2 linked regions of the Lepisosteus oculatus genome follow. The protein of the gene in region 1 interacts with the protein of each later gene in a biochemical or structural test. Links are inferred from orthologs where the notes say so. Each region holds a gene or a part of one and is shown in the gene's direction. Other genes may lie near its edges. The genes, in order: btk and ibtk.

The links.
Region 2: the proteins of btk (region 1) and ibtk form a complex in vitro, tested with the Homo sapiens proteins (2 studies listed by BioGRID). The link is inferred for Lepisosteus oculatus from reciprocal best matches to the Homo sapiens genes BTK and IBTK.

Annotation. Positions count from the first base shown.
Region 1 is NC_090703.1:50,874,447-50,890,117, reverse strand, and holds the start of btk (tyrosine-protein kinase BTK), read left to right. Parts: upstream 1-5,413; 5' UTR 5,414-5,521; intron 5,522-10,662; exon of another isoform or gene 10,663-10,844; intron 10,845-11,979; 5' UTR 11,980-12,036; intron 12,037-13,513; 5' UTR 13,514-13,540; coding exon 13,541-13,681; intron 13,682-14,026; coding exon 14,027-14,131; intron 14,132-14,237; exon of another isoform or gene 14,238-15,041; intron 15,042-15,671. Other genes in the region: rpl36a (large ribosomal subunit protein eL42), read right to left, coding at 403-423, 1,541-1,663, 1,971-2,038, 2,198-2,303, 3,396-3,398. UniProt on the Homo sapiens protein: Non-receptor tyrosine kinase indispensable for B lymphocyte development, differentiation and signaling. Binding of antigen to the B-cell antigen receptor (BCR) triggers signaling that ultimately leads to B-cell activation.
Region 2 is NC_090697.1:31,160,701-31,176,352, reverse strand, and holds the start of ibtk (inhibitor of Bruton tyrosine kinase), read left to right. Parts: upstream 1-7,963; 5' UTR 7,964-8,151; intron 8,152-14,817; 5' UTR 14,818-15,306; coding exon 15,307-15,630; intron 15,631-15,652. UniProt on the Homo sapiens protein: Acts as an inhibitor of BTK tyrosine kinase activity, thereby playing a role in B-cell development. Down-regulates BTK kinase activity, leading to interference with BTK-mediated calcium mobilization and NF-kappa-B-driven transcription.

The DNA of each region.
Region 1 (15,671 bases):
TAGTCTTAGACTATATATTTTTTTAAATGTAAGTTACTGAATTTGCACAACACACCAAAATCACATTTACCTCAGGAAAGGCCGGGAGCTGCAGAACAATGTATTTTATGCTTGTTGTACGAACTGATTTGGGTTAAGACTATTTCTTTAAAATAAACTGATTTCCTACTATCCCCATTTTGATCTGTTGTTCATATCATAATTTTAAGGTCTTTCACACTTTCATACATGAAATACTCAGCTGTATTGCATCAGTAAAGTGTCAGGTCAGTCACCACCCCTCGTTTCAGTGATCTCTAATTTGACATTAGCATTTTAAATCATGACAATTGGCTCATGGTACATACCAATTTCTTTATTGATATGCTGCAATATCCAAAAAACAAGAAAAAAAGGTGTAGCTCAGAACTGGATGACCTGGCCCTGAAAGAGATGGGGGGGAAATGTCAAATTGCTGTTAAATGTTCACATATTATAAAAACTGCATTAAAACAAATTGGTTAGGGTCACAGAATGTCCTTTTGACACACTGCACTATGATATTAACCACATTGTAATCTTCGTGAAATGCTTACTGAACAAGCTAACCCCAAGAATGAAGCAGTCTGGCATCTCCCTTTTTTGCATTGGCTAAAGTACATCTTTGGCCATGGGCTATATGAAACAGCTTTATACTTCCCCAGCACAGCAGCTCTCCTCACCGAACAAACAAGAGAGCTCAACTGTGTGCAGCACTCAAGAGAATGTCACATCTGCTTTTGTGCAGTGCTACATGAACACTGGAGAAATCCGTAAGGCTCCCGTCAGCCTTCAGCCTTAAGTGCTACAGTCAGAAGTAGCTGCGGAGAATCTGATACAGACAAAATGACCACCCAACCAAGCTCAACACCCTCTGTGCATGAGCATAGACATGGCTTTTACCAGTCCAACTTGAATACTGGACTTCTACCATCTGGATGTGCAGAATGAACTTAAACTTAATTTGAATGGGCAATATTACACCCACAGCTTAATTCTTACTTGACAAACACCATCACAGTTTAAATTTAAATCCTCATTTGTTCAGCACAAAACAGTTTCATTCAACATATAGGCATCTATCTACTGTATCTTGACAGGACACCTTACAGAAGATTTAGAAAGAATGATCAAATTAAATACTACAATTGGCTTCTTCAGGCAAACATTCTACTGAGGTGGTCGCATTAATCGATTTAAACTGCATTCAATATGCAAGAGATCTCCGGCATTAGAGAACAAACCATGGCAACAGCAAGAGCCTTTTGAGCACCAATCTTTAAATGCGAAAAGGCATCTTCCAAACTTCAATACCTCCAAGACGTTTATGGTCAGATGTCTGATACAAGTCAGTTCTAAAGGAAAACAACATTTCGATTCGGAAAAATGATCCCAGCCCCATCTAGCTGGGGTGAGAGACAAGCAGGTGTCCTGAACATGTGGGTGAAATGTCAGGTGCTGAGGTGAGCCGTGCTGCTCAGAACGGCCTGGGCCAATGAGGGGGGGGCTGCTTGCTCCTTACCTTTCTCTTCTTGTCTCCTCCCAGCTCGAAGTGCTTGCACCTCTTGATGGCCAGCATTCTCTTGGACCTGCAATTCGGCTCCACACACTCCAGCCTCAGCACAATCTTTTTGGTGGTTTTAGCCTGTTTTGAAGAGACAAGGCCATTTTTAGGCACTCAATTTGCAACAGGAAGGAACAGGGCTAAACGCTGGAGCAGCAACAAAGGCTAAGCGTTTTACAGAAACCAAACTCATTTCCGACACCACAACACAAATGAAAGACAGCTCTTGTGTTATTCCCAAGAATTTCACAAATCTCAGTAATCAAAAGACAAAACCATCCATTTTAAAAAAATAAAACTGTGATGATAAATAGTATACCAAAGTTATGTCTGTGAAGCAATACGGAAAATGTATAATTCATCAGTTTGTGATAATTAGCATTTATACCTTTTTACGGAATATAGGCTTCGTTTGACCACCATAACCGCTCTGCTTCCTGTCGTATCTTCTCTTACCTGGAATGAAAAAAAGCACTAGATGTTTTAAAAGACTTTAAACCAACGTTTGTACAAAAGGGACAGTACTGAAAGAGAAGAAAATAAAGAACCCTGCTACTGCGCCAGGGCGTCCTGCCAGTGTGGCCCCTGATGCCCCATGCGAGGGCAGACACTCACCCTGGGCATACAGGGAGTCTTTGCCCTTCTTGTACTGGGTCACTTTGTGGGGCTGGTGCTTCTTGCACTTTTTGCAGTAGGTCCTGCGGGTTTTCGGCACGTTCACCTAAACGTCACAATGAGAGGGGAAAAAACATCAGAAAGGGGGCAGCTATTCAACCTTAGCATACTAGGGGACAGGACCTGGAAAACACCAGGTCATTTTAAGCATTACGAGAGTAGAAACTTGTCTCTGTATTTGTCCCTAACTTTTAATGACCATATGGCTACCAGCTGATAATGCATTAAGACCGTCCAGGCACTGAAGGATCCTAAATTAATTCCAACAGCAGCTTCCTTAAAGCTACCCAGCCTGCTCCGCGGCCTGGTCCAGGTCCTGCTGTGTGGAGCCTGCATGCTCTCTCAGAGCATGCTGCTCGTCTCTGCCCGCTCCGGTGTCCTCCCATAGCCCCTAGACTCGTGGCCGGGTCGGACTGGCATCTGAACCAGCCCTGCCTGGCACCCTCTTCGACCAGGCCAGCCTCTGGACTACAGCCGCAGTGGTCTCACACGTCCCTTCCGAGTCCGCCCGTAACCACTCAGCTCCGCTCCATGAAAACAGCTCGGTAAACTTCGCAACAAAAAAAAACTGCAGCCATCGGAGCAAGCTTACCACCCGACCCGTATTGGTGGCTGTCGAAAAGTAGCATTTTCGTACAACTGCCCCCTAAGACCTGACCAGTCGTGTTACTGTTCAAATCAAAGACTGCCCGTGGGCTTTATTAAACCAGCTCTAACGAGCAAGCTCAGACAACTTTGCAATGTGAAAATGACACACGGCGGACCCACACAGCACAAACTCCCAAACACCACTCCGTGGAAATACAAAATCCGCCACCCAGAGCACACAGCAACGACAGCATGCGTACTAAACATGTGCGTTTAAACACACAGCCCAAGGGAAATACAGTTTGGTAACGTATTGCGGAGCGTTCCGACAAAATAAGGCAGCCATTTTCTAACCCTACACTTTTCGGCCCCGCATACAACACTTATTCGTAATGTTTCAGTTTTGCAAACCCAACACCAGCCATAATGGGGTCCACACGTAGCCAAGACACTCGTGAACACGATAACTGTGTTTGGATGCTACAGGGAAACTTCAGGTTGAAAGATTACAATTGATTAAAAAAAGAAACGAGAGCCGAGTGTCGCTTACCATGATTGCCAACCCGTTGCAGAAGCGAAGAGGAAGAGCTGCCCCGGAAGCAGATGCATATATGAAAAGTCGGGGGGAAGCTACTACTCGTGTTCATAGCGCGGTTGTAGGAGACGCGCCGCCTAGCGTTCAGGAAGTGTAAGAAGACAATAAAAACTGCTTCTGTCATGTGCCGCAACTTAATTCCCAGTGCGGAAAGAAGTTTTTAAGTTTTACTCGGCTCAAGAAAAGCTGTTTCCTTACATCTTCTGACTTTCATCAGTGTGAAATATCAGAGAAAATGTTACAAATAATTATGTCTGTGATTACTGGCTGTGTCACAAAGAGAAGTAGGCCTGTTAACGGCTGGTTCATAGCGTATTAAAAGCAGAAAAAAAAACATAAATCAAATTAGCATTAAAATATCACAGCGCAGATAACGACCTATGGCGATGTTTTTGCTCTCGGCTTTGTTCTATGCAAAAAGTGCAGTATATCATCTTGAAACTCCCACCACTTTTTCAGATCACAAACATTATTGAGTTTCCATGCATGACATTAAATATTAAGGAACAAGTGATAGGTTTATTCCATGCTGAAAAAAAGAAGAAAGAGAACACAACGTTTCGGCCGTGGAGCCTTCTTCAGGTGTGTCTGTTAGGGTTGGTGAGGGTGTTCGGGGTGTTGATGGTTTTCTTCTGTAGAAGATGACTGAGTTTTTTGTCCTTCTCTGTAGAGAGAAACTGGTAGAGTTTAGAGTTGAGAGACCTAATGAGGTTAGTTATGAAGGGAAGATGATGTGGAGCTCAGCCGTAGAAATTCCTTAGCCTCTTTGATGTTGTTGTCGGAAAGGATAATCTGTTTTTTGAGGGAGAAAATGGTAGAGAGCATTAGTTTCCTAGAAAATTGTTTTAGAAGTCTCTGAGTGTTACTCTGGGTGGTATCAGAATCAAAAGAAAAGGTATGAAATTTAAGGCGAAATCCTTTAGGGATGATATTATGTCGACGACATCTGTAAAGGAATAGAAGGTGTTTAGAAAGCCTGGTCTTGGAACAGATAGCTGTGAAGAGACGGAATGCTGGTTTAGTGAGAGAAGCGGGCAAGTGGCCCAGGGAGGAAGAGAAGGTATGACGAAGAGATCTAGAAAAAGATTTGGAGGAAGGCATAGTGGGTGACAGCAGCTGTAGGCGGTAGTATCTTCAGACACTTCTTCAGACACACCTGAAGAAGGCTCCACGGCCGAAACGTTGTGTTTTCTTTCTTCTCTTTTCAGCATGGAATAAACCTATTACTTGTTCCTTTGCAGCCTACGCATGCTGACGCAGCTCCCCACCTGAACTATTAAATATTAAGTACAGGCTTCCCTTGTGAGTCGTCTCCTGGCTACTCTCTCGCTTTTCTATGCCATTAAAAACAACAAACTTTAAAAAACCGACATGTATAAAAACACGTTTCTCTGCACTGGTGAAACCGGGGCAGGTGACAATCCCCAAGATATTAAGTGAAGCAAGGAAATGTTTTTCAGTATTTTGAACTTTTGTGAAGAGTTAGGGTTAAAATCGGCTGTCCTGAGTTTGAGGTCTGGTGAGGACCCTGGTCCGCAGAAATTTTGTTCTCACTTATTCTCTTCACTGAAGACTTGTCCTTATATGTTCTGAAGACTTCATTTAGATTTGATGTGATGGAGACAGAAAGACAGGCAGACAGACAAACAGACGATGCAGTGTCAGATGTAATACCTGAAGCAGTAGTAGTTATTCCTTTTCTCAAATCACTAAAAAGTTGCAAAGTCACTACAAGTCAGCATTCAAAATTCACCAGTATTGCTGCCTTCAGGGTTTTTTTAAGGACATTAGATGCCAAAGAGGCAAAGAGGGGTTAAGGTACGACACAAATCACTAAATATGTAGTCTGTCCTCTCTCAACTGACTGAATATCTCAACAAAATGTGAACAAATATGAAAATAAGCAGGAAGCAAAAGGGGAACTAGGCAGACTTAGTTCCTATTTTAAGGGTGGGGCTTTGGTGTCTGCTGTCACAGCCTGAAGAGGAATTAGTGCTGAACAGCTGTGTTGCTGTGATCTGTCGGAGGGCAGCAGGCAGCAGGCAGCCCAGCTCCTGGCAGAGCTCTCCACAAGTGCAAAGGTAAGAGCTGTGTGCTGATGTTATCTGCTCTGTTAGCACTAGGGGTCTCTGTGGGGGGAGGGCAGGATTGCTGGAGGCCACCGGCTTCAGCTCTGGAGAAGGGAAAGAGTTTCAGTCCTCCATCAGCAGGGGTGTGTCACAGGATGCTTCACATTCACAGGTCCTTGTGGTGTCTGAAGGAGCGAAGGCTTACCTTTCTTAAAATATGGATGTCTCTTTTTGTTTTATTCTGAAAAAGTAACTTCAACTTCAGCGAAAGGGTTCTTAATATTAATATTTTAGGGATGCTATTTGCCTCTTGTGCTGGAGTATCTTAATCTTCCTTTCGGGCCAGCTTGGATACCTGTCCTCCCTTGGTCCTCTTAGTCCTGATTCTTTGCCTCAGGATAATGCTCTCTGAGAAAGCCAGCTGCTCTGTGATGTATTTTCATTTCTATTTTAACCTATGTTCTGGAATTTGCATTACTATTATTCAGAAATTGAACAGATTTTGCAGACATATCAGGGGCCATCGGACTGCTGAGTAACTGACTTCAGAAGAGTAACTCTTGTGCTCTGACAGTCGGCCTAACGTTCGGGCTCCTGTACTTCTGTAATTAAGGGGACATTGTATGCAGACTCTGTGCAAGCAGGGTACAGTAAAATGGTTTTGCGATGCAAATGTGTTATTAACAGACGGAAAAACTGTAGGCACTACTCCACCACCATCCCCCCCCATATAAAAAGATCTGACATCCTGATCCAAACAATAGTCATTGTTCAAGCTGAAAATGACAGGCTGCATGAGCCGCCACCAGCTCAGCAGGGCTCATCCATCTGCTGTGAGCTTGAGGTAAAGAAGTGGTGAAGGCTTCAGAGCGGCTCTAGAGAATATATTTAACGCCTGCAGCATGGTTGGGGTTTCCTTTTAGAAATGTGTGATGAATGGTTACATTTTGGCATTAATAAAGAAAACACCAAATAAGATCAAGTTTCTGGTGCATTGCCATTTCAATGCAAAATGCAGAACGTTTCTTACTTTTTTTTTGGAAAGCAGACATGCTCGTTTTCTTAGAACATGCCAGGAAATTGATTTATGCAACCAGACTCTAAACGGGAAATTCTGCTCCTTGCCTGACTACCAGTGTACTTGTGGCTTGTCTCTTTATCTTTTCTCAGCTGTGAGATACAGAGGGAAATGACTCTAGTCCTTGGCTAATGTAGACAGTACAGGACACCATTACAACTCTTACAAAACTATAGAATTGCTGTAAAAAATAACTTTAGCCTTCTGTCTATATAATTTTTATCTTATTTGTTTGTGCCTATCAACATAGAAAGCAGCACAGACTAAAGCTCTCTTATCCTATCTTGTGAGCTGCAGAAACTTGTCTGTTTCCCTGCATTTTCAGACCTGTACCTTAATTGACAGACTCTCTTCCCACACTTTAACCCCACTCTGTGGCAGAATATGTGATTTCAGAAACTGCAACGTTCCATTTTAGAAAGTAAAATGGTTGGTTCAATGTGCAGTTTTAGTGTTGTTATCTAATTTCTGTCTGATGTATCCTGACCAGCAAAGAGACCACAACATCTACTGTATCACGTACCATCAGCTAGAAAAGGCTGGCAGTTCTGTATTTATAAAGCAGTTTCATAACATTTATATGAAAAAGAAAAGTTTTTACTGGTAGAATTATCGGATTTTATTTGTAAATATTCAAAAAGGTTAGATTTGGAGATGGCCTTTAAGGAAGAATATCTTTCATAATTTACACATAGAAAATAACATTTTAATATAGAAAATAATTTTAAAAAGTACTGTGTGTGCATACCCTCCCTTAAACAGCACGGTGTACATAATAAAATAATTATATTATGTTGAATTTTAGTAATTAACTATGAATTTACATGTTAAATGTTTTAATAAAGTCAGTAAATGTATTCAAATCATGCAGATCTTCAAACATGTTTTTAATAACAATATTTTTAATAATAAATATCATGTTTTTTTTTTATTAACCTATTTAGGAGGAATTCTAAATTAGAAGTGTTCAGTCATAATTCCACACAATAGCCTCACTTTATTGGCTCCTTAGCCAACCACAGATACTTGTGGATCCTGGTGCCCTGAGCAGGGTTGTGCTCAATGGATGACATACTGTACTGTAGCTCCAGGTCTGTAGGAATAACCTGTGGGAATAACCTCTTTTATTATTCTTTATTTATCTGCCTTATTTATCTTAGTAAATAAGATATAAAAGAAATAATCTTCTTTAGTATCACCTTAGGTCATCTAAAAAATGTAGAAGTATAATAACTGAAACTGCTGATAATTTAATTTAAGATGCAAATATCATTGCACTCATTGACCAAACAATTTGACCATGATAAGCTGAATAACGTCCTCTTGTATAGAAACGTTCTCTTGCTAAGTACACTGCCATCAGGCCTGGTTTTCACTGAGATAATCTGTTCTTTTAATGTGATAATATTAGAATATTATGTAGCACTGCTAGGCATTGGTAAATTGTTCTTTTCTTTAAAAAAGTCATGAAGTCGTGTTTATTGTGCATTCATATCAAAACACGCTCCAAATGTTATCTGCACTGATGCTTTTTAAGTAGGACAGTTCCCTACAAAATAATCAGCTTATTTAAAATGCTTTTGCAAATCATATAATGCCAGAAAGTTTAGAAAAGGTGCCATTACAGTCTGTGTTGGTTTTAATCTCTATGCTTGGTCCATCCTATGCTACCAGCTACAAAATGTGATTTAAAACTATGAGCACTATTTATCTAAAATGATTCAAGTGATCACATATACCCATATATGAAGAAGCTAGCAGGCTGTGGAAGCAAATGAGATGTTGTTCTGTGAATAATTTGCTGTTCTTATAATCTACGTCTTGAAGTAACATCTTTTGAAATACTTTCGTTATTTGTGAAAGAGAGCAACAACAACCTATTCACGATTTGTCTTTATAAAGAAAATAAAGTACCATGAGCAGCAGAGGACAGTGTAAATGAGGAACTGCTTCTTTTTACAAAACAACAAAACAAAAATAACAGGAGTAGTACTTAACATTTGTTTACTTCTTTCATCATTTTACCAAATTTTTGTGTACCGAAATCTCTCATGTTTAAAAAATGATTTAAGAATAACACAACCGAATAGTGACCGTTGGGCCACGTGTTGCTGACTTTTATGCGCACGTGCTTCGATTAGGCAGGCAGAGCCCGAGAGCGACAAAATTCATTTGTAATCTGTGGAGTTACCCTCCGTAATATCTCTTGAAATACATCTTTATAGAGCCTTTCACATGTATCAAGCTGGAAATTACTCCCTCAAATCAACAATACAGGATGTACAATTTGCATTTTCAGATACCTGGGAGCCTAACAGATTAACAATTGTTTTAATACAGTAGGTAGCAGAAACAATATTTTTTTGTTTTTGCATAGTATGTTTGTTTTTATTAATGAGACACAGCAGCTATCACCTTAAACACACTCTTTCCTTATTTTAATCTTCGCTGCATCAGGAAACTCGCAAAAAGCTAGAAATTCCTTTTAGTTACTTTTTCCAATGAACTTTCTTAGAGAAAAGGAACATGAAGGAACTGAACACTGTTGAATCATCCCTTCATTGTACCATTCTGCATATAAACCAAGAGATTCAACACATCTCCTCACTGGTGTCAGAAATAAAGAAATATACAGTATATTACTGCAGAGTCAGTGGAGTAGGAATTCTTCCCTGAATATGTACAAAATCAATTCAATGGAAGAGACCACGTCTGATGAGTGTCAGCATGTTTTGCACGCACTGAGCTGTACACAGCTACATGACTACAACATCTGAAACATTTCTGTCTCAGTCTGCAAAGTGAAATGCTAAGAGCTTTGCAGATAAGATCCCCACACTGCTGGTTCTAATCTCAAATTTGAGTTTTTTTATATTTATATTAGCATCTCGGGGTTCCTAGGTCCTTTCACAGTATTCTATATAAACAGTATTTTCAGGATAGATTTAATCTAGAACCACAGTAAGAGAAAAGTTCTGTAATTCTCATGTAATCCCAATTAAATGATGTAGGTTCTTGCCTGCTATTGATGCATTTCTTAAAACAATCTATCAATCCACTGAGTGTGAGACCACTTTAGTCCAAACTGTATTTCACAGAGAGAGGGCAAAGCCTGGAAACATCACTCATGTAAAGAGACAACGTTTGTGGAGGACTAACCACACAGAGGACATCTTCTGCCTGGTGTAAAATCAATAGACAATAAATAGGCCAGCCACTGATATGAGCAGTCCATTAAGCCCAGGCTGCAAAGTATAAAGTGGCATAAATGCAGCAATTTAAAAAAAAAATAAGACTCAAATGTCACTTTACAGTGTGCGTCCGGTGGGCCGCGTGCCCTGCGTTACTCGCTGTTGTTATGATTGCTAATTGACTAGAAGCACCCTTGCTGCTTCTATTATTGCCAGGAAGTCTGCGGGGGAAGCAGGTCCTCATCACAGCCCCACGAGCCTGATTACAGGTGGGAGAAGACCCTGCTCACTACCGCAGCGCCAGCGGGACAGTGGACAGTCTGGTGGTCAGAACGATCTCCCAGTTCATGTAGAGAAGAATGGAGGATAGCCTCAGCCCACATGCCTGTCAATGGATATACTGTACCTACGATATACCTAAGACGCACGTGGCTTCCACGCCAGCTCTGGAGCTCATACTGGGTACTAGAAGCCCCCCTTGTGTCTATCTCTAAGACATGGCAAACCCCATAACGTGGTGTGGAGCTACTCTGCTTGAAGGGCGGTAGAGGATCTTAAAAACAGTGCTGCTACACTTTCTTTCAGAAGGGATTCCTAAAGGTGAAGTTTGGTAACCTGTCAAATAACATGCCAGAACTCGGGATAAGAGACTGCAGAAAGGAAGTCTAAAATCAAGGATGGCAGAAACTGGTTCCTCAATTCAGCAGCAGTTTGTGAGCTGGGACCTTCGTTCCAGACAAAAGCTGACATTGCTGCTGGATAAGGGCAGCATGGTCCCCAAGCTGTACATGTGTTTTTCTTTAATGACAGAGGGGGGAAATACTGCATAGTTCACGCCTACAGCAGGGCAGCAACAAAAAACAACAAAAAAAAGCTAAGAACGCAAAACACTTTGTATCAGCAGTTTAGTGCATGATTAGTGTGAAGAGCAGGTGATAATCAGCAACTGAAGAGGCAGGAAATGGTTAGAGGGGTTTAAAATAGGCGTCTCAGCAGCCCTGACAGCCATGCCTCTTCAGAGAGAAAGACGAGCAGATCTTCATTCTCGCAGCTGTAATGTGGAAAGGTAAGGATGCTCCACTGGGTTTCCCGAGCAGCTCCAGCTGGAGGAGCAAGACTGCCATGCTGACGAGGAGGAGGGGTGAGGGCTGGGAGTGATTGGTGTCGATGGAGATGCACCGCGCACCAGTCTTGCATCACTTGACTTCACAGCGATAATGCAGCGAAGACTGAGAACTGTTACACTGCAACAAAACCTCACTCGTTCTAATTCTAGGCACAGACTGCAGACCTTTTCCCCAATACTGTTGGTGTCTTTTATTTTTATTTCATGCAAGACCATTTATATGTGCAACAACAGCCAGTCGAGCTCTTTTAAAAGTCTATAGGAGAGTTAGATACATATTCCTTGATTACTTTATTAGTATGACAGATGTGTGCTAGGTGGTCCTGTTGTAACAAAGAACTGCAAGTGTGGGGGTTAACCTAGCCTGCATTGTCATGAAAAATAAGTGCAAACCTTGTTTTGTTTTTTGGGCTCTTTTGTTTAGCAAAGTTTGCATATGGCTTTGACAGTTTCACCACGCACAAGGTGCTTACTGTAAATGGTCAGACTGTAGGTGTTTTACAAATGCAAATGAATTCGCCATTCAAGGTAAGTTTATTTGGTTGTTTTGTTTAATGGTTTGAAAATGGTTCTTGTAAATAGTGGATGTGTTGTATTATACAAGAGCCTCTGACTAAACAGTTTTTGGCTGGACTTTTCATCAATAATAAATAAATTCTATTAGAAATTTAGATGGTTTATTTATGTGCCCAAAATAATTATTAAGCTGTTCATGAATGTTGGGAAGTAGCCAACTGTTACTTTCTACACAGCAATGTGAAAAAGAATATTTAAACTTTCTGTGTGCCAGGAAAATATATGCAACAATGTCTGAAAAAAAACACATTTATATTCAAATAATAAGGATGGCACATGGAATCTTTATCAATGCACACGAGCAGTTTAGATGTTGAAATTTAGAATGTTGTTCACTAGTTACATTCAAGTTACAGTATTTACAACACATGTAAAGCCCAGGAAGCTTTATCTAAGGGGAAACTTCTATGAGGAAATGTTTTCAAAAAGGACATTATTTGCATTATAAGAGGCACATGCAAATTCTATTATATTTATACACAGATATCTTTCATTTCAGTTTCATTCAGAGAATTTCCCAGATGTATTGCCTTTCCTGAAAGCCCATCACCAGCAGGTAAGTCATGTTACAGCAACATAAGAATGTTTCTTGAAGGAAACCAGGGTTTGAACTTCAACAGGATGGCTGGATAGCTTATTCCAGACTCCCACTACACTTTGTGTAAAGATTAATATCTTGTAATCTTGTGTATTGGTTAAATGCACTCTTACTGATGTCTTCTGGTTCAACAGGCCTTACTGTTGATACCAAAGAAACCCATTGGGTTGCCTTTATCAGTGTCTGAGAATTGTGAATACTTTAATCAGGTCTCCTCATAATGTGCTGACAGGTTGGATGACTAGTCCATAGGATGTAATGGGTTAAAACATACTGTACATGAGAGAAGGTCTATATTAGAGGTAACACATTTCACCATCTCTGAACTGATCTAACAGCTTTAAGATGCTAGTGTGAAAGTTGCAACTGTGCTGGGTGGGTGTGACTAATGAGAGAGTGTGTGTGATCCCATGGAGACATGCCAAGGCCTATAGCAGGTTTACTGTAGGTGGAAGTCACCAGATCTTTAATAAAATAACATATGCAATAAGGTGCTCAACACAATAGCACAACACAGAGAGTACTTTAAATGTAGAAATGTATTGGTTAGCATTATAAAATCTGCAAGACATATTTCCTTTTTACTAAATGATAGAAGAAGATGGTAAAATTAAATGTATAATTAATAAGGTTGCATGCTGAAAGGGCCTTCTCTCTTCACAATGGTCACATAAGGGAAGGGTGAGATACTATGTTTGTGCTACACTGATGTGCAGTATACAGTAAGTCTCCCAGACACTGAAAGTCTGCTCAAGCCAGGAAGCTAATTTTGCACACCAACGATTGCAGGAGACCTGTGCCATTAATGACTAGACTTGAAGTACTGCACGTCCTTTCTGAATCATCTAATCTGTGTGAGGGTGCAAATAATATTAATTAATACACATTGTATGAACTTAGGGGCAATATCGGCCTTGACATTTGGAAAAAAATGTCTGATAGGAAAAATGTACTTATACACCCATGCTGAGCCATAGTTATTTTATGACACTGTAGAGAATGCAGCTGTACTTTCTGGATCTTTATCTTAAGTGGATGGCTCTTGCCTCCCTGGTTTGCTCTGGAAGGTCCTGCTGCGCTGCTTGGTCATGCACATAGAGGGTGATGTGCAAAATACCTTAATGCTCAATGGTATCATATTGCATTTCCAATGGTCACTCTCAAACAAGTTTTACAGCCATTGCTTAGAGTCATTTCTGTCAGCATCGTGTATGTAGAATTACGTGAAGAGAGTCACTGCAGCCAGCATGCTATCGATTTAAAACAACCAGTGCAGGACTCTTGTGCAGGGATCACAGTGAGATGGTCCTGTTTGAGATGGTCCAGACCCTGTTTGAAAAGGTCATGTTGCATATCCAGCAGATGGGCTTGGTCCCCTGCGGAGAAACTGATTCTTTGTCTTGCAAAGTGAAGGACTGCTGTCCTGTTGTTTCAGGTAGACCCTCAGCTGTAGGATTAGACCATGTCAGAAAACATCCTGGAAGAGATTTTTGTAAAACGCTCCCAGCAGAAGAAGAAAACCTCACCGCTGAACTACAAGGAAAGGCTCTTTATTCTGACGAATGACAAGATAAGCTACTATGACTATGATTTTGATAAAGGGGTATGTAAAGCGCTCACCACAGTAGATTGTATAAACCCAGAGGAGGCAGGGGGATCCATCATCAGGATGAATGTCTTGGCTTTTTCGATGCTTGATGTTTACTTGCTGTATGAGCTTGCTAGCTGTGTCCTCTGGTTCGTGTTTCACTGTTGATTCTGAAGGGCTTTCTCAGTGTGCCTGACAATTTTGACTACTTGAGTCAGGCTCCTTCATAGTGTGCTGACAGGATGAATGAACCATCCAGAGAACACGATGCCTGATCACAGTATGGCAGTGCTGCTGCGGTAAATCATCATCGCTGCAGCTCACCTGTTGCCGTAATCTGATGGTGTGTTTTCCACTCAGAAAAGGAAGAGTTTGAAAGGCTGCGTGGAGGTTGAGAAGATCAAATGTGTAGAGACGGTGCTTCCAGAGGAGAACGCTCCTGCAGACCGGCTCTTCCCATTCCAGGTATACAGCAGGAGTGGCAGCCTAGCTCCCATCAGCCCCTGCAGCCATTTTCCCAAACATGTTACCCTCACAGGACAGCTACCCCTGCTACACAGCTGCCCCCACATCACACCACACCTACCCCTGCTACACAGCTGCCCCCACATCACACCACACCTACCCCTGCTACACAGCTGCCCCCACACCACACCACACTTACCCCTGCTACACAGCTGCCCCCACATCACACCACACCTACCCCTGCTACACAGCTGCCCCCACACCACACCTACCCCTGCTACACAGCTGCCCCCACATCACACCACACCTACCCCTGCTACACAGCTGCCCCCACACCACACCACACCTACCCCTGCTACACAGCTGCCCCCACATCACACCACACCTACCCCTGCTACACAGCTGCCCCCACATCACACCACACCTACCCCTGCTACACAGCTGCCCCCACACCACACCACACCTACCCCTGCTACACAGCTGCCCCCACACCACACCTACCCCTGCTCCACAGCTGCCCCTACATCACACCACACCTACCCCTGCTACACAGCTGCCCCCACACCACACCACACCTACCCCTGCTACACAGCTGCCCCCACACCACACCACACCTACCCCTGCTACACAGCTGCCCCCACATCACACCACACCTACCCCTGCTACACATCTGCCCCCACATCACACCACACCTACCCCTGCTACACAGCTGCCCCCACACCACACCACACCTACCCCTGCTACACAGCTGCCCCCACACCACACCTACCCCTGCTACACAGCTGCCCCTACATCACACCACACCTACCCCTGCTACACAGCTGCCCCCACATCACACCACACCTGCCCCTGCTACACAGCTGCCCCCACATCACACCACACCTACCCCTGCTACACAGCTGCCCCCACATCACACCACACCTACCCCTGCTACACAGCTGCCCCCACATCACACCACACCTACCCCTGCTACACAGCTGCCCCCACATCACACCACACCTACCCCTGCTCCACAGACACCTCCACATTACACCCAAACTGTTCAGCAGCTCATCCCTAATAGGGAAGCAGCACAACAAAGCAGAGAAGCGTCACTTCAGTCTTTTAGTTCTTTTCAATTCAGTGGTTTCTCTTGGAAATGGACATGTTTTTTATTATGCAGTAAAAAAAGGACGCGCTCCTCTGTGTCATGTTGTGAGCTGTGCTCCTCCCCTCTCCCTCCATGTGTCAGTCCCTCGATTTGGAGGCTGTTGAGTCAGTTTCTCTTCCTCATTTAGTTAAACTCCTCCACCTCTGGCCCCTTCGGAGACTCGTGGCATGTTCAGAAGGCAACAGTGATGAAGCAGCTCATGACCTTAAGCCCAGACCCACATCTCCCACTCGGCCTGCACACAACAACATAACAATAAACCTGTTGTTGTTTTGTAGATTTGATTTTTTTTAAATCTACTACTATCTAATCTAGGTTTCTTAATTACGTTTTATAAAAAACACATGCAATGCACATGTGCACTTCTTGCAGAATGAGCTGATCTCAGTA
Region 2 (15,652 bases), on another chromosome or scaffold:
TGGACCCCAAACTCCAGCGCTGAACTTACAAACTGTCTAAGTAGACTGTGAGTGTTAACCCTAACCCTAGCTGGGGTGTCTACTGAGCACTCCCGCAGTCAATTACTGAAGCTCTCTGGGTATCGGATTTTAAAATGTTCCCCCAAACAAACAATTTGAAGGTGATACAATCAAAAGCATTGATAAAAGCTCTTGCAAATGTAAGAGATTCTATCATGTTTGGTTGCAACATTTGATTCGACCATCACTGTTTTGGGTCAAAATTACCAAGCGGAGCTCTTTGCCATCTGGGCACCGAAGAGTCTCCGAAAAAAAAAAATTCAGATAGAAGCAAAAAATCATTTGTCCTAAAGTTGACTTGGGCCCCAAAATCTAGAGCTGAACTTACAAATTGTATAAGTAGAGTGTGAATGTTAACCCTAACCCTAGCTGGGGTGTCTACTGAGCAGTCCCGCAATCAATTACTGAAACTCTCTGAGTATCGGATTTTGAAATGTTCCCCCAACCAACGAATTTGAAGGTGATACCATGAAAAGCATTGATAAAAGCTCTTGAAAATGTAATAGATTCTATAATGTTTGGTTGCAACATTTCATTCTACCATCACAGGTTTGGGTCAAAATTACCAAGCGGGGCTCCGTGCCATCTGGGCACCAAAGAGTCTCCGAAATAAAATTCAGATAGAAGCAAAAAACCAGTTGTCCGAAAGTTTACTTGGGCCCTACAATCCAGTGCTGAACTTAAAAATTGTCTAAGTAGAGTGTGAATGTTAACCCTAACCCTAGCTGGGATATCTACTGAGCAGTCTTGCAAACAATATCTGAAGCCCTCTGGGTATCGGATTTTGACGTTCCCCCAATCAAACAATTTTAAGGTGATACAATGAAAAGCATTGATAAATGCTCTTTCAAATGTAATAGATTCTTTAATGTTTGGTTGCAACATTTCATTCAACCTTCACAGCTTTGGGTGAAAATAACCGAGTGGGGCTCCGTGCCATCTAGGCACCGAAAAGTCTCCGATAAAAAAAATTCAGATAGAAGCAAAAAATCACTTGTCCTAAAGTTGACTTGGGCCCCAAAATCCAGCGCTGAACTTACAAACTGTCTAAGTAGACTGTTAGTGTTAACCCTAAGCCTAGCTGGGGTGTCTACTGAGCAGTCCTGCAATCAATATCAGAAGCTCTCAGGGTATCCGATTTTGAAAATTTCCCCAAACCAAACAATTTGAAGGTGACACAATAAAAAGCATTGATAAACGCATCTGTAAATGTATTAGATTCTATAATGTTTGGTTGCAACATTTAATTCGACCATCAGAGCTTTAGGTCAAAATAACCAAGCGGTGCTTCGTGCCATCTGGGCAGCGAAGAGGCTCCGAAAAAAAATATTCAGATAGAAGCAAAAAAGCACTTGTCTTAAAGTTGACTAGGGCCCCAAAAGCCAGTGATGAACTTACAAATTGTCTAAGTAGAGTGTGAATGTTAACCATAACCCTAGCTGAGGTGTCTAAGAGCAGTCCTGGAATCAATATGTAAAGCTCTCTGAGTATCGGATTTTGATGTTCCCCCAACCAAGCAATTTGAAGGTGATACAATAAAACGCATTGATAAAAGCTCTTGCAAATGTTAAGGATTCTGTAATGTTTGGTTGCAAGTTTCGATACGACCAACACAGTTTTAGGTCAAAATAACCGAGCGGAGCTACACGCAATCCGAGCACCGAAGAGTCTCCGAAAAAAAAATTCAGATAGAAGCAAAAAAGCACTTGTCTTAAAGTTGACTTGGGCCCCAACATCCAGCGCTGAACTTACAAATTGTCTAAGTAGAGTGTGAATGTTAACCATAGCCCTTGCTGGATATCTACTGAGCAGTCTTGCAAACAATATCTGAAGCTCTCTGGGTATCGGATTTTGACGTTCCCCCAACCAAACAATTTGAAGGTGATACAATGAAAAGCATTGATAAATGCTATTGACAATGTAATAGATTCTATATTGTTTGTTTGCCAGATTTTATCCAAACATAACAGTTTTGTGATAATATTACCGAGCGGTGCTTCACGTCATCTAGGCACCGAAGAGCTTTAGATATCATACGAACTGGCAGTAAGCTACCACTTGCTGAAATGTTTAACGTGAACAGAACTGGTGCAGGTTTTTCCAACTGAAGGTATAGAGCTTCTAAAGTAATTTTCTTTAAACTTTCTTATCTGAAAGATAAGATCAAGATCTTAAGTAGATAGTATCAAATAAGCAATAATAACAACTACAATACCTTGAATTGAAGTCTTTGTTTCTCCTAAAAGTGCACAGGCACTCATAATAATAATAATAATAATAATAATAATAATAATAATAATAATAATAATAATAATTGCTTATACTTACTGTATATAGCGCTTTTTGGACACTCCACTCAAAACGCTTTACAGGTAATGGGGACTCCCCTCCACCACCACCAATGTGCAGCCCCACCTGGATGATGCGACGGCAGCCATAGTGCGCCAGAACGCTCACCACACTATCAACTATCAGTGGGGAGGAGAGGAGAGTAATGAAGCCAATTCATAGAGGGTATTTGGAGGCCATGATTGGTAAGGGGCAGGAGGAAATTTGGACAGGATTCCGGGATTACACCTCTGCTCTTTTTGAGAAATGCCCTAGGATTTTTAATGACCACAGAGAGTCAGGACCTCGGTTTTACGTCTCATCTGAAGGACGGCGCCTGTTTACAGTATAGTGTCCCTGTCACTATACTGGGGCATTAAGACCCACAGGGACTGTAGGGTGAGTGCCCCCTGCTGGCCCCACTAACACCTCTTCCAGTAGTGACCTTTGTTTTAAACAATACTATGTATCCCAACCACCCGTCCTCTTTAATGAACAGGGCACTCTAACCAAAGTTAACTATAACTGCACAATGTTATGCAAGGTGGAGGCACACAATGTCCAAATAGATCTATTTACCTTGCACTAAGGTCTCCCCTCTTTCTCTTAGCTTATGTTTGAATGTGCTAGCTGCCTTACCCCAGCATCCTGCACTGATGGTTGGGCTAAACCAGCTGAGGGCAGTCATACTGTAGGTCTCAAATTTGACAGTCATTTTAGGAGGAGTGCATCAGGCATTGTGATACACTAGAGAACTATCTAATGCTCCTAGGACACTGAACCTGGCGTAGCAAAGAAATTCATAAAGACTGCAGACAACTGAGCTGTTTTTTAGGACTACAGTATATTGTTCACGCTTTTAAAGGGAAATGGCTAGAAAGGGTACCCGAAGCTTGCTTGTGCTGTGTTTTCTGGCCAATGTTTGGGCTAATTCCCATAACTGGTTCTGCTGACACCTATAAAGACAAGTTTGAAGGCAGTGAGAACTTTGAAGTGAGAGAAATTGAAAGACTGTCTCAAAAATCCACCTACTGTATGTCCTTAGGTCCACTTAAAGGTTTCATCAGGACTTGTGACAACTGGCAAGAAATTATAACCCTTCTAAATGAAAATAAGAATGACCTTTTGGTCTGCCAAACCACTCCCATTTGAATGTCAGATGAGTACTTCTTTGAGCTGAAGTGTTTTTAATATTCCAGTATGTTAAGCATAGATAAAAGGCGTGTGAATAATTAGATAATCTCAAAGATTCAAGTTTTAATAAACGTTTAACATTAGATCACAAGCAATTACTAAAATATATTTTCTGAATACTTAATTTTGTCTTAATTACTTTTAAAGGCAGTGACTACAATAATTAAAACTTTTTTAACTGTGAATTGTTTAACATAGGGCAAACTAAACTACCAAAATCAGCTTCAAGTAGAAAACATTTTTTACAAAATATAGTGCCTTGCAAGAGCATTCATCTCCTCCCAACAAAGTCTCATTTTGCTCAATTATGATATACAAAAAATCCTCTGTTTAATGGACTAATAAAAGAGAAGGGTGTCTGTTATTGTCGAATGTCCATTAAATCACAAAACTTTTCAGTCTCAAAACAAAGTTTTCATATTTTCTTGCTTTAGAGCAGCTATGACACTTTGAAATAGACCAAATATATTGAAAGCTAGGGTATCCAAATAAGTAAAGCTTATGCATTAATTACTGTCAATAAATCATATCCCAGTGTAACCAGGTGGTGAGGTGTGGGGCACAGGAGTCGGGAATAGTACCTTGTGCAGGCTGGTAGTTAGATACCTAATACTAATTCCCATACAGTATATTAATACTATTAATACCTAATCATATTATTAATATTATAATATTATCAATATACAATTGTGTTCATTATGAATAGTATTGATAATCTGTTATTAATATAGCTTAATACCATTATTAATAATACTAATATTCTAATACCCGGCCCCCTTAAGACAGGGTTACACCAGCATGCTTAAGATCATGTATAAAAATGCTGGTTGCCTAAAATTATTGCCAACATGTCCGGAAGATGAGAACTCGGTGATCTGGAATGAGAAGTGACTGTTACAGCCAACTTGCCAGGAGCTTCAGTTTCCAAGACAGCGTAACTTGCTTATGTTTCACTAGCAATGGTGTCCAAGGAGGTGTCAGCATGTACAGTAACTCAGAGGGAAAGAGTCAAAGCCAAGTGCAACAGTGGGCGTAAGTGCATACTCCAGGATCGTGATATCTGTGCATTAGTTTGAAATGCAAAACTGTCATGCCCTCTGTAGCCAGAGGGCACTCGTTCTCTGTCCTGTCTCTCTCTGGGGCTATATATTTCCGGGTCTTTCATTCTGCCGGCGCTCAGCATTGCCGTTCGGATGTCCTGAAACCCGCCTGGCACCAGGTTGTCCCACGTCTGCTACCTGAGGGCATACTGTAGGTTTCTATATGGCATTCTCTGAACAGCTGAGGCCGGGCTAACCCCCGTCTCGCTGCTACGTATAGGGTCTTTTTGCTCTCCTGTCATTCCACGGTTCGTCCCTTCCGACATCCGTGACAAAAACAAAACAAGAGAGCAACTCTAGAACAATTGGCTGCAGACTTCAACCTCTAGCATAAGCAGTGAGTTTTGTCAAAGACGGCCTGTCAGGACCTCCATAGTCAGAATGCAGTGTATATGCACTGTACTGCTCATCACACCCGGAAATCCAAGCTTCGAAGTCCAGTGGTCCAAAAAGAATGGTCAATGGATTGCCAAGCAATGGCGAAATGGGATATGGTCAGATGAATCATCTTTCACAATCTGTCACTGGGCAAGCGGACAAGCGCTTGTGGCGCAAATCTAAAGAACTCTACAGCCCAGTGTTGCCGGTTCCAACAGCGAAGAGCTCTGGTGGTTCTGTAATGTTGGGAGATGGATTTTCCCACATGGTCATTTCTTTAGAAGACAAGGTTAATGCTCATCGCCAGTATGCAGATCGGGAACAGACTTACCCAAACAAACTTGCATCTGCAATTGCTTCCAAAGGTGCTTTCAACAAACACTGAATTTTCAAGTTTGAATACTTGAATACCCTTCATAGACTTTTCTCTTTTCTCTCCTAGAGATCTTCACTCTGAGAGTTTGGGTTTTGAAAAAACTACATTTGAGAAAATGTGAATGCATCGTTTCATAATTTCACCAAATTGTACACCACAGATAGGGTTAAGATGCTTTTGCAGTGCCCTGCATATTTGAGTATGGGTATTAAAAATGAAGAAGAAAGAAACATTAGTATTATAAGTAATTATGAAATATTAGCTGTTAATTAAAATGCAATTAATTTAAATAAAATCTTCTGGCAATAACATGATGTTCACTTTCAGTCTCTCCTTTATTGTGGCTCTCTACATACAGTACATAGGCATGATGCATGCTAGGCTGTAAAAGGAAGGTTAACACATCCTCCAGATTGCAAACAAATTGCTACGTTTGCTACGTCATTTACTTTGAAGCCTTGACTAAAATCAGATTCAATTTATGAGCTATGCAGTGTATATTTGCAGCACGGGGTGATCTTGCAGCATTTTGTTCAGCACCTTTTTTCTTTTTTACATTGACTGTTATAGGAGCAGCCATAACATTGTGCATAACACTAAGCTTTGACTGGCAAGTTTGCAATCCCAGATCTTTTTTTAAGGAGAAGTTTAATATTTTCATAGATAGAATAAGCATCAATTTTCTCAAATCAGTCAACAAATCCAATAAACCTTTCAAATAAATGATTTTTATATTTTTGTGTTCCTTTTGTGTTTCGACTGTTGCTGCTTTTCTCAATATTTGTAAAGATTGTTTGGATATGTGTGATTAAAAGAACCACTGTGTTTTTTAGGGAATATTGCATCATACTTAGAAAACAAATGATATTGTTTCAGAATGCTTTGATAGCTTGGGAATTCGTTTCTCTCATTACAATAAAATGGTGAATCAGTGACTATAGCTGAACGGTATTTTCATGTTTACTTATGCTACTAGTCTGGGAGATTGTTGAGACTGTCGACCAACACAGTTGATGACAAATTTTCATCCACATAAGGTATCTTTTTAACAAAACGTTAGATCATCTGGTATAATAAAGACCCTTGACATAAGTACTGTATGTCACACGATAAAGAAGTAGAATATACTATACATTCCTTATTGTGTTGTACTATTGGAAAGAGAACTGATGCAAGAAACCTGAAAAGAGGTATGAAGATTTGTTCAATGTACCTCTGGTGCATTGTATAAAGACAAAAATAGAAAACCATCGAGTTTATGTGAAGGGCAACAATACCCATGTAACCTAAGTGCAACTCAATGCAGTGGCTGGTAGATAATAAACAGCAGGATAAACAATTCAGTCTGTAAGAAGCTACGTGACTCTTACTGCTGTTGGCAGAGTGGTCCCATATCAACATGGATGTACAGCAAGTGAAATTCTTGTGGAATCTAGAACTTCCGTGGTTATTGTACTCTCATCTTATATGGAAGAAATTCTTGCTGTTTCACATACATCTCTCTGTGGGCACTTTGGAAAGGAAAAGTGACATTAGTCTGAAACATCTAGACTGCTTGAGCACAGCTTCTGCCTACCTATGAAAATTACCCTATAAAGTATTTTCGTGGAAATAAGAAATCCCCAGTTAAAACTACCCTTGCAACACAGTAAACAAATGTAATGCCTGGCATCATATATCATTTACCAGACAACAACACTAACCTTGCTCTATCCCCACCAAACTGCCCCACTAAATCCACTCTCTCCTTTATGTTCAAATTGGGCTGGTGTTTAGGATTGTTATCTCAACTACACAACACAGCCATAAACAAGTATTCCTGACACACATAAAGCAAACTGATAAAAGAGAGTATTGTAACGCATACGGCCAACATCAGAGGCTGTGCGAGCTGGCTTGTCAGCGCTGTGACGTCACCGCCCTTCACTGTGAATAGCAGGGACCTCAGCCCCCTGGCTGACAGGAGATTTCCCTTTAGCTCAGCTGGCTGGTTCCCTGTTTAGTGACACCAGAGGCCCGGGTTCGAGTCCCCAGCGGCGGGGGGCCAACCTGAGGCGGCAGTGGCGAGGGCGCATACCCGCGTGAACCATAGAGCGCTAGAGTATTCTCTTAAATATTAATTAAGATATTTATGGAATCATTTATCCCAGTCCTTTTATTACTAATTTATTGAGCCAACTATTTTATCCCCAGCAATTCACATTTAATAATTGCTTACACTTATATAGTGCTTTTCTAGACACTCCATTCAAAGCATTTTACTCCCCTCCACCACCACCAATGTGCAGCCCCACCTGGATTGCCACACAGGATTTTGGCTCTGTTTACAAGTCCAGAGCCGCTCCACTCTCCTGGGCTCTTCCAGAGCTGACTTGTTTCCAAACTGAAGTGCCTATTGACTTATGTCAAACCTATGTGTATAAATAGGCCAAGGCAGAGGGTACACGGCCCCTTTAAGGCCTTTTAAAGCTTCCTGTTGTTTATCCAATGGCGAAATAATATGCTAGATTTTTCTACCAATCAGATGGCTTCATGTTATTCGGTCTCTTAAGTTTGATGGGCAAAGAGAGGTTCTTGCTTAACTAATAATTTGCAGTGCAACTGTCAAAAGCTTATTTTGTACAGCGTACGAAGTATATTAATTGAAAAATGAGTTTATGGACAAGTACCCACGAGAGTGGCCAATGCACCATTTTCGCCTTCAACTAGCGACAGGTAAGCTTTCTGCCAACATTGAAAACTGGTTCACGAGTACAATCCATAGTGATGATGTGTCAAGTCAGTCTGGCTTTATGAACATTTTCGGTATTACATAAATATTTTTAACATGCGTGGAGGTTCACACCCCATTTCGGTCATTATCCTTCCCCAACAGTACCATAAAAAGATTCACTTGTAGGATAGATTTTTTGTAATCTTTCTCATGTTAAGTGTTGAACTTCATGTTATCAGTGAGTTAACGTATCCTACTCAATACAAGCTATTTTCAGACACCACAGAAAGTGTCCCTGCAAAAAACAAATCGAAAATACATAACTTGCGTAAGTGCTGGTTAGACGCCGAAAATATTCAGTGCAACTTGAATAACGAAGACCTTTATTTTGTTATACCAATTGCAATGGCTATCTAGAGAAATATTTTAGCTTACTCATTCAATTAACACTTTAGGAGTTATTAAGGAATTCGGGATATAGCTAGAAAAGTGCTGTCTCATTTACATGTCTGTCACCTTCAGTCCTAGTGTAATACGTTTAATAAAGTTTAATTTTTACAATATGTATGTCTTTGACCCATGGGAACTTGCACTGTTTGTTATAAAGTTTCATTTTACGAATCAGGTGACAATTTTCACACGCCTGCTTTGTAGTATTTTAGTTAATCCTTTTGCACGTGATGCTCCACAGGCTTCTTCTTAACCAGTTTTGCCAAACAAATACGAACGTCGGTGCTAATGAACCACTGAACTGTATGGACAGGTTTACAGTACAGTACATACTGGAAGGCACAAACGTTTATTCTCGTACGTTCCCTGCAATTAATATCTATAAGATAAAAAGGCCGACCTAAATGTTAACGGAGCATAGTCGTATTTTTTCAATGATATATAGTGGGTATACCCCCAGGACACAATTTAGGGGCACTGAGGTTTTGAAGTTGCATGCATTAGTTAAAGATAAACCTTCAAAACATTTCGAATGTCACAAGATTTCTGTCCCTTTTATTGAAAGATTTTTCTGTCAACGAATTATTAAACAAAGACATGCTCATGTTGGTGAACATAACATTTAGGCTACTTTGAGTAAAATCCAACCTGAATCTTAATATTGTGGAGGGGCTGCAAGTCCTTTCCTTGTGTAGGCTTAACATGAAGTTCACATTGATATAACATGATGAAATCATTGCAAAGGCTTAGAGATGCACTGAACTGTAAGACACTAGTCTGTTGAACTTGGGATTTGAGTTTAGTTGAGCAGAAAGTGTTGGTTGAAGTGACTTTTGAAAGCAGGGTTTTCCAACCCTCTTTCTGGAGAGTCTCTGTTTAGGAGGTTTTATAGGTAATCATTAACTTATACATTTCTGAAGACCTGGAAAAATTTGACATTGTTCAGTGGATATTTTGTTAAAATTAAGAAACTTAGAAAACATCAATTTTCAAAATCCACTTAGACCGGCACAGAGTCCTGTTGAACCAAAGCCCAACCTGACAGTGGGCGCAAGGCAGGATCCACCCTGGACAAGTGCCATGGACTGGCATCCTGCTCACCGGGGACAATTTAGAGATGCCGGCTACCCTAGGGAGGAGACCAGAGCGCCTGTTAGAGCCACATGCAGCCACGATGACAACATGGCAAACTCCACACAGCAGGTCCCCAGACTGGACTCAAACTCAGCGTGGCAACAGCGCCGACCAACAGGCAACATCTGGAACAAGACACATCAGATCTCAAGGACCTGAGTTACCTTATGTGAACAATGTAGTGTAACGCATACGGCCGACAGGTACTGTGTAAGAGCCGGCTTACCAGAGCGGTGACGTCGCCGCCCTTCCCTGTGATAGCAGGACCACAGCCCCTGGGCTGTGGAGAGATCTCTCTTGAGCTCACCTGGCTGGCTCCCTGCTGAGTGACGCGTGAATCCCGGGTTCGAGTCCCCGACGGTGGGGGGCCGACCTAATGCGGCAAGGGCGCCCGCCTGAGCCCCGAAGCGTTACAGTAGTGTCCTGTCCCCAGGAGACAGCACATGCTCTGACACTATAAACTCTGCTATTTGGTTGACGTTGTTCAGATGTCAGAATCCAGGCTTCAAAAGGTGGTTCTCTTTTGGGCAGTTGCACCAGAGGACAGGTGTAGGTTTCTTAATATATGGTAAAAGTAAAATGTTGCATTGCATCATATCAGCTCCCAGAGTATTATGGCCCTTGAACGAACTGGTTGGAGGAATAATATCTGGGAAGGAGCCCAGCACTTTCAGACTCAAAGAGACCAGAATAAGAAAGCACAGTGAAAATGTCTCACCTTGACCAGAATGTGCATTACAAAACCAGATATCTTCAGAGACAACACCCACCCAACCTGCGAGAGAGAGTGCAGATCCTGTACCGGAATGATCAGGCGCCTAGGGGCTTATGGAAGACCCTCTTTGACTGTGAGGGATCACCAATGACTTGATAAATTGTTCAAAAACTTTCAAATGATCAAATAATTAAAAAAATACAGGTGATAGGGTGCACTATAGGATTAACTGGACGAGTTCTCCAGGATGAGGGTTTGAGACTCCTGTGTTAAAACCTTAAACATGGGTGGCTCCACAAAACCTGCACAATACACAGTAAGTCAAGTCTGGTCATTCCTGTTCTGTGCCAGACAGTGAGGTAGTTATAAACTGTAATGGATTTGAAAAGGATACAGCTAGAATTTGTACTTCCATTATATAATTCGTTAGGTACACTTATTCAGAAGAGGGACTGAATCTGTTGAAAGCTGAAGATAAATTTCATCACTCAATGTTGGCAACATCCTATCTGATGTAAAAATTGCATGTGCTGTCACAAGAGTCCAACAAAGCAAATGTCTCTGCTCTAGTCAGAATGACTCAGAATCTGCACTGTCAGGTACATTGTTTGCTTTTAGGAGCTGTTTGCTGTGAGGTTCTTTAATATCTCTGTCTAAAAAGGTTGACATTTTTGCTTTGTGACAGTTGATATATGCACCACTTCAAAATAGGGCTGGGCGATATGGCCTAAAATTTAAATCACAGTATAATTCTAATTTTGGATGGTAACGACATGTATCACGATATAGAGTTTTTAATAATAAAAAATCTGAAGCTTTTTATTACCAGTACTTTTCATCAATCAGATTTGAAATTAGAATGCTGGTGAATAAATACAGTAATCTGTATGTATTTGTTTAAATAACTGTGTGGTATTGTATTGCCTCTGTCTCTGCAAGAAGAGGGATAAGATACTTATAGACTGAAAAGTTTCTATTGGCTTTGAATCTTTGTCCATGTACTCTCCGGCATGTCTTGAATTGCAGATGCTACTGGGTTCGGTGGTAGTGTGTTTCAGGTTTTGGGTGGAATTTCTTTCCTGTTTCCTCATTACTGTTGTAACCATATTATCAGTCATACTTCAAACACAGCCATTGTTTTGATAAATACCAACAGCTATACTGAGACTTTTGTATGAGCCATGAGTCCTGCAAACTTGCTGCACTGTTAAAGTAACCATCATTTGAAAAACGTTTTAAATGCTTTCCACAGCCTGGTTTGAAACCAGTTGTTCTGGTGAATTACACAGGTCTTGATAGTAGTTTAATTCTCTCACAAAGCACCTGCCATACAACAAAAACTTGTTTGAAGCATTTGCTTATCTTGAAATTTCAATAACTTCTGATGGATTATACATGAGTGTACAAGTATATGATATCTTAAAATTTTACAACTTCTTTTTCTCAGCTGCTGATGAGAAGTTGTCTTAACACAGTGTGATATACTCCCTGGCAAAAGATACTGTACATGTAGTCTGCATGTGTTTTTAACATAGTGTTTTTGAATATGTGTTGTATTTGATTAGAGAGATGGTTGGAAAATGACAAAACTGTCCCTTACGTTTTATGTTACTTTGGTTGTGTAAAGCAGAAAGGAATGATGTTCTAGTACACCTGAAGCTTCAAAAGATGTTGGCAAGCAAATTGACAGATAATTGGTCATAAGCTGCAAAGTGGATAGTTCAGAGTTATTAGACCTGCTAAGACCCTTCCATCATCTTTGAGAGTGTTGTTTTAAGAATGCCACATTAGAGATATTTATCCTCACTAACCTTTTTAGTGATTATATGTCACTCCAAGACAAAAAATCAACCACAATTCTTCCAGAAAGTGATTAGTAGGATAGTGTCCTACTTTTGTCTGACCTGGTATCTCTGGGACAGCACTGATTATCATGTTCAGGGTCTTTGAAGGCATCCGCAAACCCTAAGGGAGATGGACGTGGAGACTATCAAAGAATGTAGCATCATTCCCCACAGTCAGATGAAAACTCTAATTAGCTTAATTAGACTGTATCAGTTGATACATATAGCACTTTGGCCTATCTGAGATGTGCCCAGGCAGCAAGGTTGAGTTTTTAATGTACAGTGAAGGTGACTAATGAAATTGAAAATGGTTAAGTTTGCTAACACTACAGTAGCATGCATTACTATTAAGAAGTAATGTCTGTCTGGTTGCCTACATTTTTACCTGTAGAGCTGAAGATGTGTTCCTAGAGTCTCCACTAATATCTGCAGTTGGTGACCTCTGGCTGTAGTCTTGTCTTCTTCTGTTTCCCTTGTCTACTGCTGTTTTTCCCCTTTGCCTGAGGAACAGGTGGGTTTATAACCCTAAATAATGTCAACCAAGACAACCAATCAAAATCTGACTGCAATCCCATTGTGTACAGGCATATGTGCTTTTCATCACCTTAAATGACATTTACCCATTAGGTACTGACTACTCAAACATTTTGAATGGAACACATGAGAGACAAATATTTTGAAATAGACAAAACAGTCTAACACTATCATAAACTTAGATAAATGCATAAAAACAAACAGTTACTAATAAGTAGAAAAGATATATTGTGAATTATTTTAAAAATCTCACAATGGAATATGAATATATCTATGCTACATAGTTAATTCAAAAGACAAATATTATTACTATTATAAGTAAGTAATGATTATTCATTTTTAATTAACTAGTGGTTCTCAACTGTGATGCTGGTGTGCTTCTTTGTCTTCTGGCTTTCATTGAAGTTGAGCTTTTAATTGCTTAGGCTAATTAAAGCCTTGAACTGAACTACTATACTTCTTTGATCAGACCTTTTTATTTTCTAAACTGTTTTTTGCTGTTGAAGCATAGACTTGGGTTAGGAATTAACATCAAACCTGTATCAGTTTTTGAGTTTTCAGAGCTCCTCCCGTTTATGTGTCTGGAAAAGGGACACATGGAGAGCAAAGACTGAATGATCTGGCAGTGGCTGAGTCTGTGTTATTCCTGAATCATTATTCATCATGAATTGGCCACTTATTAAGACATGTTCATACAGTTTATAGGGGAGTAGAAATTGAATAGGCAAGCTGAAAGATTAGCAGATTTATATTTGTTGAATTTCTTGGCAAGGTGATTTTGAAACCAGAGAGACGTACAGTCGTGCAGAAAACAGTTCAGGAAGGTCTAATGAAGCCAGCAGTTCAGTTGAAGGGGACATTTCGTTTCTCAGATGGAATACCAATCTGATGATAGAGGAGTCCTCAGGGACTGGGGTTCAGAAGCAGTGTTTTAAAATTACTCTAGTTTATTAGCTGAAAGATCTTAACTACTACTGTCCAGGATGTTTGAGTGTTCATTAAACTTAAGAAGCGCAATTTTCTTACATCTGAATATATAACATTCTCTTTTAAAGTACATTAATTAGGACGAGTTGTAGAATAAGGCCAGTTACTTAATAACAATGAAAGGAAAGCTGGAGAGGCTGGACTTTCAAATGGTCTGAAAAATATTCTTAATTTACCAGCTATTGTGAAAGCTAGAAAAATCTGCTTTCTCTGTTTTTAAAAAACAGGTCTTTTAGAGGTCTTGGCTTCAATCCTCTCTTTTAAACTCTTGGTACATGTTTAAAAAAAGTACTATACTCCCTGGCAGGGCAGGGTTGAAATTGTTTTGTAGTGTTAGAATTTGAAATTGAACATGATTTTTATATCCCAGCCACAGAAATTTTCTCTGTTCCCAATGTTGTGTTAGTAACTTGTAGATTTTATAAAAAGATTTGAAAGTAATAATTATTTTGTCCTTTCCTCTGTAAATTCATTGATATTTTTAATCTGAGTTCAACTTGTTTCAGATGTATTAATGGAATTTTGTGTTAGAACAGTGATTAAGAAAGAATGTTTCTATAGTATTACAAATGTGTCATACAGGCCAAGATATAATTACTGAATGATGTACAGAATGTCAGAATTCATTTCTGATCACAGATAGCCTATTAGAAGTGTAATTGAAACCTATATTTCATTATTTGTTTAGACTTTATTTGTTCATTATTCTTTGAATTCCAGACTTTTGCATTTAGACCTGACCCTTGTGTAAATATCCCATTAAATGAATGTTTATGCTGGGACGGGGACTTGAAGGCATTTTTGCAGTTTATTGAGCAGTACCAGACATTCCAGGCAATTTAATAGACTTATTTCACTTGTGGTTGTGACTGTAGTGTTCTGCCTAAATCATATGCTCTTAAATTGTTTCAGTAATTGTATAGAGTTAGAAACCACTGTAGACAGTAAAGGTGGTTCAGTTTTTGCCTCAAGCTTGACAAGTTTTCTTTTCCACTTCCTTTTAGGTACCCTCTACAATCATGGAGGCTTAAAAGGATTTGAGCGTTTGGGGGGGGAAAGGGGTTCTTCCCCTTTGCCGGATGGTTTCGTTTGAAAGAATTGATTGAAGGTTGTCAGAATTGTTGCCTTTGCGGAACACTTGAAAATAAAACAGCACTCAAAACTGTAAATTGAAAACAGAAGTATATATTTCTAAACTTTTATACTTTATTTATTGATGCTGCATAAAGTGCCAAATGTGTTCTTCTACTATGTTCTGCGTATCGCAGTTTTCAAGCTGGATTGAAATGAACTGAAAAGGGGCAATGTGGGGTTGCTAGCGTGCAGTGGGATTTTAACACAAGCACAGTTCTAGCACCCTGCTGATTTTCTGGCTCAGGTTCTTACCATATTTCCCAGCGTAAGAGTTAGCCTCTTTTTCTGGAGAGGATTAGTAGGGATTACTAAAGTATTGCTAGGAAAAATCGGGGACTGACTCACTGAGGCAATTCAGAATGAGCCTGTTGCCCCCAGACTGCACAACCAAGTGCCGGTCTCTTCAGCACGCTCGGGAGGTCATCTCTGCGCTGACCAAGGGCACAGAAAGCCAGCTCAAGGCCTTTCTCACAGCCCGTTGCCACAATGCAGCCACGCTGAAGGATGAGTTCGGCCGGACGGCCCTTCACTTTGCAGCTTCGCTCGGGCAAAAGTCCCTTCTGGACTGGCTCCTGGAGGTGAAAGGAGCAGACCTGCTGGCGAAGGACAAGGAATCAGGATGGACGGCCTTGCACAGGAGTGTGTTCTACGGCCACATTCACTGCCTCATGTCGCTCGTTAAGGTACGAGCTAAGGAAGTTGATT